Linked DNA regions of Diceros bicornis minor. The protein of the gene in region 1 purifies or fractionates together with the protein of each later gene. This does not show direct contact. Links are inferred from orthologs where the notes say so. Each region holds a gene or a part of one and is shown on either strand. Other genes may lie near its edges.

Evidence for each region.
Region 2: the proteins of STYK1 (region 1) and TMEM259 purify together in Homo sapiens (affinity purification with mass spectrometry; 3 studies listed by BioGRID and IntAct, with this or other methods). This does not show direct contact. The link is inferred for Diceros bicornis minor from reciprocal best matches to the Homo sapiens genes STYK1 and TMEM259.

What each region holds. Positions count from the first base shown.
Region 1 is NC_080756.1:50,302,534-50,306,278, forward strand, and holds the start of STYK1 (tyrosine-protein kinase STYK1), read left to right. Parts: upstream 1-1,301; 5' UTR 1,302-1,369; intron 1,370-3,745. UniProt on the Homo sapiens protein: Probable tyrosine protein-kinase, which has strong transforming capabilities on a variety of cell lines. When overexpressed, it can also induce tumor cell invasion as well as metastasis in distant organs.
Region 2 is NW_026691553.1:560,227-563,971, forward strand, and holds the start of TMEM259 (membralin), read right to left. Parts: upstream 2,355-3,745; 5' UTR 2,258-2,354; coding exon 2,036-2,257; intron 1-2,035. Other genes in the region: cleavage and polyadenylation specificity factor subunit 6-like, read left to right, coding at 2,625-2,655. UniProt on the Homo sapiens protein: May have a role in the ERAD pathway required for clearance of misfolded proteins in the endoplasmic reticulum (ER). Promotes survival of motor neurons, probably by protecting against ER stress.

The sequences.
Region 1 (3,745 bases):
CCTCTCCTTCATTATATTTTGTTTTTTTAAAAATTCTTAGGTCATAGAGATGATGATTTCTATCACTATAATGGCTCCTTGACAATAACTAGATTTTTAAACAAAATTCTGTGTGTCAGAACATGGTGCTGCAGGAATTACAAAAATGAGTAAGCCAGTCTCTGCCTTCAAGGAGCTTACGGTGCTACGGGAAGTAGAGCAGGAGATTATATAATATGAAGTTCAGATCAGTTTATTTGGCTTTTATTAATCAATTATGACATAAAGGATGGGAAGAACAATTGACTGAGACTTCATCCTTTTTTAAAAATTGAGGTAAAATTCATATAACATAAAATTAACCATTAGCCATTTTAAAATGTACAATTCAGAGGCATTTAGTTCATTGTATTTTAACAGAGCTCTGAAGGAAATCAAAATTTCAACAGAGAAGAGTCTAGAGAGCTGAAGCACCTCAGTCTCTAAATACTCCATATTACGTTGCACCCCAATTCTTTTTGTTCGAATGGATGCCCATTTCTGCTTGGCATGCTATCAATGCTGAATAAACTGGTCACCTATTCAAGTTATCTATGACATATTTCTTTAATAGAACTTGTATTAGGTGTTAATATCTAATTTGGAATTCTTCCAGCTGTGTATTTTCTTTATTGTTCCCTATGACTGTAAATTCCATGTGGACAGGTAACATAACTAGCTTGTTCACTGCTACATCCCTAGAGGAGAGCCCAGCACGTAACGGGTATTTAAAGAGCATATGCTATTGATTGATTACCTACTCCTGGGATTTTTATTTCTACTTATTCCTTATAGGTTCCCTCATGTCATAGCAGCGGCCAATATCTTGTACACGCAGCAAAGGCTTGGGGTTACAAATGTCCCTGGAGGGGACTAATCAAGCTAAATGAGAAATCCCGACCATTTTGAGCACCAAAGAAGGCAGCTGCTACGGAGTCGGACACGAGGTGGCGCTGTTGCCCTCATTCATGAATTTCCCTTTTCACCTGGCCTGGCGTCTCCCTATACCTGACCATCTAGCAATCACTAGAGAAGGAAAAGAGTAAGTAGATCAGCAACAAGTCCAGCTTTTACAGTTTCAGCAGAGGTTTCCTGCTGGCTGGTATGTGGTGAGTCCCGGAAACCTCAATGCCCGCAGACTTCCCTTTGTGGGGAGCCCGCCCAAACTCCATCCTTTGCTGGCAGCCACGCCCCACAGTGGGAAGGAGGGACGGAAAAGCATTTCCTTGAGGCTGGCACACCTTCCCTACCCAAACCGGTCATTTCTTTCTTTCCTTCTTTTTTTTTTTTTTTTTCTTTTCCTGGCTGGACCAGTTCCATCTGAAACCCCAGTGACCCGAGGAGGGACACGGTAGTGAACGGGGATTTGGGGGTACGGAGCGTTGGGAGGGGGATAGCAGGGATGCGTCTAAGGGTGGATTTTTGACATTTGGCCAGAAAACGAGGGAGGAGGTTGGGAGTGAGACGGTTGCGAGCGGCTGTTGTATATTATGTGAACAAACAATAATCACCAGGTGTATTAGTCTGTGTTTCTTTGGAACCAGCATCTGGTGGGTTTTGGCTTCCACGTTTTTATGACAAGAGACTAGACCTGCCTCAGCAGTCTTGGCAGAGAGAAGAGCAGCAAGAAAGCCTAGTGGTGAGGGGCCTCTGTGTATTTCTGGGGAGGGAGCAATCAGGAGAGTAGAGATGGAAACAAGCAGGGCACAGGAATTACTTGTCACGGGGCTACCTAGTCGTTCAGATGTGTGGGCTCACTGCTCTCAGCTTCGTCATGTGTGAAGCATAAATAATAATATAATTACCTCACAGGGTCGTTGTGATATTTAAAAGAGATAATATCTGTAACCATGCTTAAAAACTGTACGTGTAATATGCTGTTCCTTGGTGACCTAATTTGTTTTCTTCTTAATCTGTCTCCTCTTTTTCTGTGTCTCTTTCCTTTCTCACTATCAATGCCTCAACCTCTACCCCATTTTGTCTCCTTTCTTTCCCTTTCATTTCTGTGATCGTGGCTGCCTTCCGTCACGAATCCTCTCCCCATCTGAGTTTTTCTTACATTTCAGACCAAGCTTTCTTGCCACTACTTAGAGTCATCAGTAGTTGTGGAAATAAAGGCTACTGTAATGTGTGGCACAGCCACACTGAAATGCACCTGGACACAGGGCTTTGTGCTGTCGACCTCCTTTACCCTCCTCAGTACTCCTCACAGCCAGCTATGGGCCATCCAGGTCTTCATGAGACATGACCAAGTATTTGCTTCAGTGAAAATCGTATTCTTTTTTCAGTGCCTTCATCACTGTGTTAGTTTGCTAGGGCTGCTATAACAAAGTACCACAAACTGATTAGCTTAAACAATAGAAATTTATTCTCTCACAGTTCTGGAGGCTAGAAGTCTGAAATCAAGGTGTTGACAGGGTTGGTTCTTTCTGAGGGCTATGAGGGAAGGATCTGCCCCAGGCCTCTTTTTTGGCTTATAGATGGCAGTCTTCATGTTCACATGGTATCCTCCCTGCATATGTGTCTGTCTTCAAATTTCCCCCATTTTTAAGGACACCAGTCATATTGGATTAGGGCCCACCCTAATGACTTTATCTCTGTAAAGACCCTATTTCCAAATAAGGTCACATTCTGATGTACTGGAAACTAGGACTTGAATGTAAGAATTTTGGGTGGCACACTTCAACTCATGACAATTACTAGTTCTCTAAGTATGCACACATTCAATGTTAGTTGAGCATCCCATGTCTTTCTGTTGTCTTCTGCAGAAACTGTTTTCCCACCTTTCCCAGCCCCTCACAACCAGCTCCTGCAAGCATGTGCTCCAAACTTCTGCTGGGAGTTATGTGATTCTGCAGCTGTTTTGTTTTAACCTGAGTTTGTTAGTTTCCTATTGCTGCTCTAACAAATCACCACAAACTTGGTGGCTTAAAACAAGGCAGGGCAGCTTCAGACCAGACTGGCTGGATTTGTGGAATCTGCCTATAAAGCTGATGGAAAACAAAGTAGTAACGATAGATTTTCAGCCTTCCTTTAGCCACCCACCTCCTTCCTTGAACCGCAAGTGTCTGTGGTCTTTCCCCATAGGTCTCAATGCCTGACCCCTTTAGCCATACTTGGGGCTGGTATCTTAGTATGAGTCAAAATGAGTTCTGGTGGAGGAAGAAGGAAGAAGCAGAGTATTCACTATAATATTCTTAAAGCCCTGCAGTGCCAGCAATGAAAATACAGCGGGAGTATAAATGCTCTAACTTTCGACACATATGAGTTAGAGATTTCCAGAAGCTAGTCCAGACACATGTACAGCCCAAAGGACCAGCAGGCAGAAGAAACTATGAAAGTATATGCACATTATGAATTCCAAGAACCGGGATCTTCCTCCTCATTCTCATCCCTACAAAACTTAACTGAATTAAAAAAGGGATCAAATATCCAGTCAGCCTTATGAATGACGGAAAATTGTAGTGAAAAGAGCGCCAGATGGAGATTCAAGACGCACGATGCTAGTCGTAGCTTACATGCTAATTAGCTGTTGGAAGACAAATAAACTCTGTGCCTCGGTTTCCTCATCAGTAAATTATGGAGGTTAGGGTTTTTTGTTGCTTTCGAAGGGCTCTACTGGTCATACATGTTTAGACTTCTAGGGCCTTTGTGGAGCTCATGTTGCATTTCATAGTGTGCTTGTCAGAGAGAATAAGAAATGGAAGACAGGGTTGCTGTTTTTACT
Region 2 (3,745 bases), on another chromosome or scaffold:
CCCCGAGGAGCCTGTCACCTCCATTCTTCAGAGGAAGCAAGTAGCAAGGGCACGTGTCAGTGCCCCTCTCCCTGCGGGCATCACCTGGGTGGCTGCAGAGTCAGGATGCCCTCAGTCCAGAGTCCAACTTGATGGGCCCAAGTACCCCATGCTAGCTGCTCAGGACTCTGTGCCAGGAGAACCAGCAGAGGTGGCAGCCGAGGCGGGGGGGGCGGAGGCGAGGTCTTCTAAGGGCCCTGAACACAGGCCCGGCCGCCTCTCGCTCCCCAGCAGCTGGCACGGGACACGGGTCCTCCACGACCCCAAGGCATGGCGGGGAGACAGGGGGTCTGACGGGTCGCAGCCGTGAGCTCAGCGGAACAGGCGCCACAGGAAGAGGCCAGCGAGAGGAAGTCCGAGAGGGGACCTCGGTCTCCGCAGCAAGAGCACCGGAAGCCGGGCGGGCAGGAAGCAAAGGAGCTGAGCTTTCCACAACCTGAGGCAACTCAGAACCAGTGGTCCGCCCTCACTGTGTAGACGAGGGAACCGGGGAGATTCACAAGGAATGAGGGGCCCTCGCTGTGTAGACGAGGGAACCGGGGAGATCCACGAGGAACGAGGGGCCTCTGGGCTCTGACACAGCAGAGAGGGAGCGTGGGGGCTGAGAGCCTCGGGGGCCACCTGCCCAGGGACCCTCTGGGTGTGGATCCTGTCCGCCAGGTTGGCACAAACACCCATCTGCTCTCAAATCGGGGAGCAGTACACAGAGCTGAGGTGACCAGGACGTGCTCTCAGAGGAGATGGAGATCCCTGGGGAGGGTGCCACCTGGCACAGAACACACCCCTCAAGTGACAGGGGTCAGCCTGCGGACCCAGTGCTTCCTTCTGTCTGGGGAGGACAGTGCTCGCTGTCCCCGAGGAGGTGACGCCCACACGCAGACTTCTGTTCACTGTCCCCAGTAGCCTGAGTAAGGTACCCCGATCCTGTAACTCTCCACAGCTGCTCACCGCCTCCCGAGGGGACCCGAGCCGTCCTGGGGGCTGTGGGGAGGGAGGGGCGGGAAGGCCACCTGCACGCAGCCTCATAAGGCGGACAGCCCAGGTCAGCCTCGCAGGAGGGACTGGGGGGCTCAGGGGCTTCCCCGAGGTTGCGGTGGGGCCGGGACGCACCCAGGTCTGTTGGGCAGCCCCACTCGCCCTCTTTCCGCCAAACCCCAAACAGCCGCAGGCTCCTGACCGACCCTGCCGGCCGCACCCCCCGCGCCTCGACCGCCAACATCAGCCCTTTCTGTGCCCAGGAGCCCAGCGCCCACTTGGCGACGTTAGCATCCCACCGTGTCAGGTGACAGCTAGGACCACCCTGTGCTCGGGAACCGAACCCTGGCCCCACGAGCTCCCTCTCTGGGGTCGCAGCTGCCCCCGAGGGAGACCCTTCGTGGAGGGCCCGGGGCCGCGCTCCCGCTGGAACCCGGAGCCCCCCGGGAGGACCCTGACTGAGCCGTGAGCCGCAGCGCTGCTGTGACTTCGCCACTAACGCCGGCGAATGTCCTCAACGAGGTCACACTCCCGGGACGCCCGGAGGAGGGACACTCGGGTGGGGCAGTGGAAGGTCCCGAGGAGGGGGCAGCCCCAGGAAAGGGGGGCGGGAGGAGGAGGCGGTGGACCGGGAGCGCCCCCGGGGCAGCTGGTGGGCCGGGGGCGTGTCCAGGGGTGCGGCCGCCCGGGATTGCGGTTCTGGGTCAGGACCGGCCCAGAGGGTGGGGAGCGGGTGCTCGGGGTCACAGGGCAGGAGGAGGCTCCCGGCGGGTCGGGGCCTGGCGAGGCGGGGACCAGGGGTGGGCGCGGCGGGGAGGGAGCTCCTGGGGTCGGGACCAGGGCCACCACGGGGCGACACCCGGGGCTCCCCAGGCGGACGTCTCGGGGCAGGAGTCAGAGGTCGCAGGGTTAAGGGAGGGTCCCCAGGGGCTCGCTGCCCGGGCGTGTGGGGTCAGAGGTCGCAGGCCCGGGGGAGGGCCCGCCTCCGGGGTCAAAGGTCGGGGGTCGGGGCCGCGGTCACCTTGAGCAACACGAAGAACTCGAAGAGGCGGCGGAAGGCGGGCGGGAAGAGCCGCGAGTAGGTGACAGCCATCTTGAAGAAGAGCGCGTGGAAGAGCCGGTCGCGCACGTTGATGAGCGGGTTGGGGTTCAGGTTGGGGGTGCGCGGCCCGCGCGCGGGGGCCGGGCCGCCGCCGCCGTTGGGCCCGGGCGCCGGGGCCCCGGGCGCCGCGTGCTCCGACATGCCGCCCCGCGTCGCGCCCTAGCGGCCCGCGGGTCCCCGAGCGCGCCTCCCGGCCGCCATGGGCCGTCTCCGCCGCCGCCGCCGCTCACGACCGCCCGGCCGCCGCCGCCATCTTCCGCCTCCGCGGCCTGCTGACGCCAGCGAGTCGCCGTGCCCGGCCAGAGCGGCCCCCTGCGCCCGCGGGGCACGCTGGGATGCCGGCGGCCGCCCGCGGAGGCCCCGCCTTCTAGCCGGGCCAACCCGCGGAGAGGACGCCGGGGGCGGGGCTGCGGCCGGCCCTTTGTTTTGCATATTGCCCCCACAATCCTCCGCGGCTGTGAGGGCGTTCTTGGGAGGTAAAATTAGTCAACATCGGAGGGTTTTAGACATGATAAAAGACAATCAAAGGAAGCGTGACGGTAGGAGATTTTCTTATACGTGGTGCTCTAGAAAGTCACGCCGAGTGTAAGTTTCATCAAATTGGCATAAGTGTAAAGTAGCTTTATTTATTTTCAGTAACTATACCCGCAAACAGCGCGTTTCGCGTGTTTGCTGCGTGGGAAACTTCCACGCTGCCTCGCTGAAGCCCCCTGACGTCAGAGGGCCGCGTGACGTCAGAGGGCCTCGCCGGGCTGTGCTCACCGCGGAGATCTGCGACTGGGCGAACCAGCCTCCTCCCTCGTTCCCGCCCCCCCCCCCCCCCCCCCAGTGCAGGTCTGGGGCTTTACGGGGCGCCTGCTGCGTGCACGGGAGAAGGTGGTTTCGGGGCCGAGCCGGGTTTTGCTCGCCCACCTACCGTCATGGGCCGCCTAGTTTTTGCTGTTCTGAACCGGCCCCGCTGGGTCAGGTCCCTGTCCCATGCCACCCGCGCGACCGCGGCCGGGCGGGGACGAGGGGTGGACAGGACTCTGAGCCCCTGCCGCCCCCGGACAGTGCCTGTCCCCCCACCGCCCGCCGGCCCGGGCACATTCCAGTGTCCAGGCCTGGGAGGGCACCTCGGGTCACGTGCTCATCCTTGAGACGTCTCGGCGCCTCTGGGCAGCCGGGAAAGTACTAGGACCCAGCGTTCACTGAGCGCCTACTGTATGCCAGGTGCTTCCGCCGCAGGGAACCGGGAAGGGCAGCAGGAAGGGGAGGCAGGACGCGTGGGGCGATGGCTGGGAGGCCGCCTGGGGAAAGGACAGTGGACACCCAGGCCTGCTGCAAAAAAAGCGCCCCAGGGCCAGTGCCGGGTGTTGGGGCTCGGGGCCAGCAGGGGGACAAGGGGGTGTCTGGTCTGGCTCCTGAAGGCGAGCAGCCCACCGCGAGGGGCGCAGACGGGGCCTCTGAGGAAGTCATTCTCCTCCTGTCCCATAGAGAGCGCCCTGCACGGGGCCTGGCATGCAGTAGGCGCTCAATAAATGCACACGCTTGAAATTATTATGGATCACTCCCAGATCACTTGTTAGTTACAAAAGAGAAAAACAATCTTTCCCAATGGAGAGGCCGGTGGATGTCCCCTTGACCTGG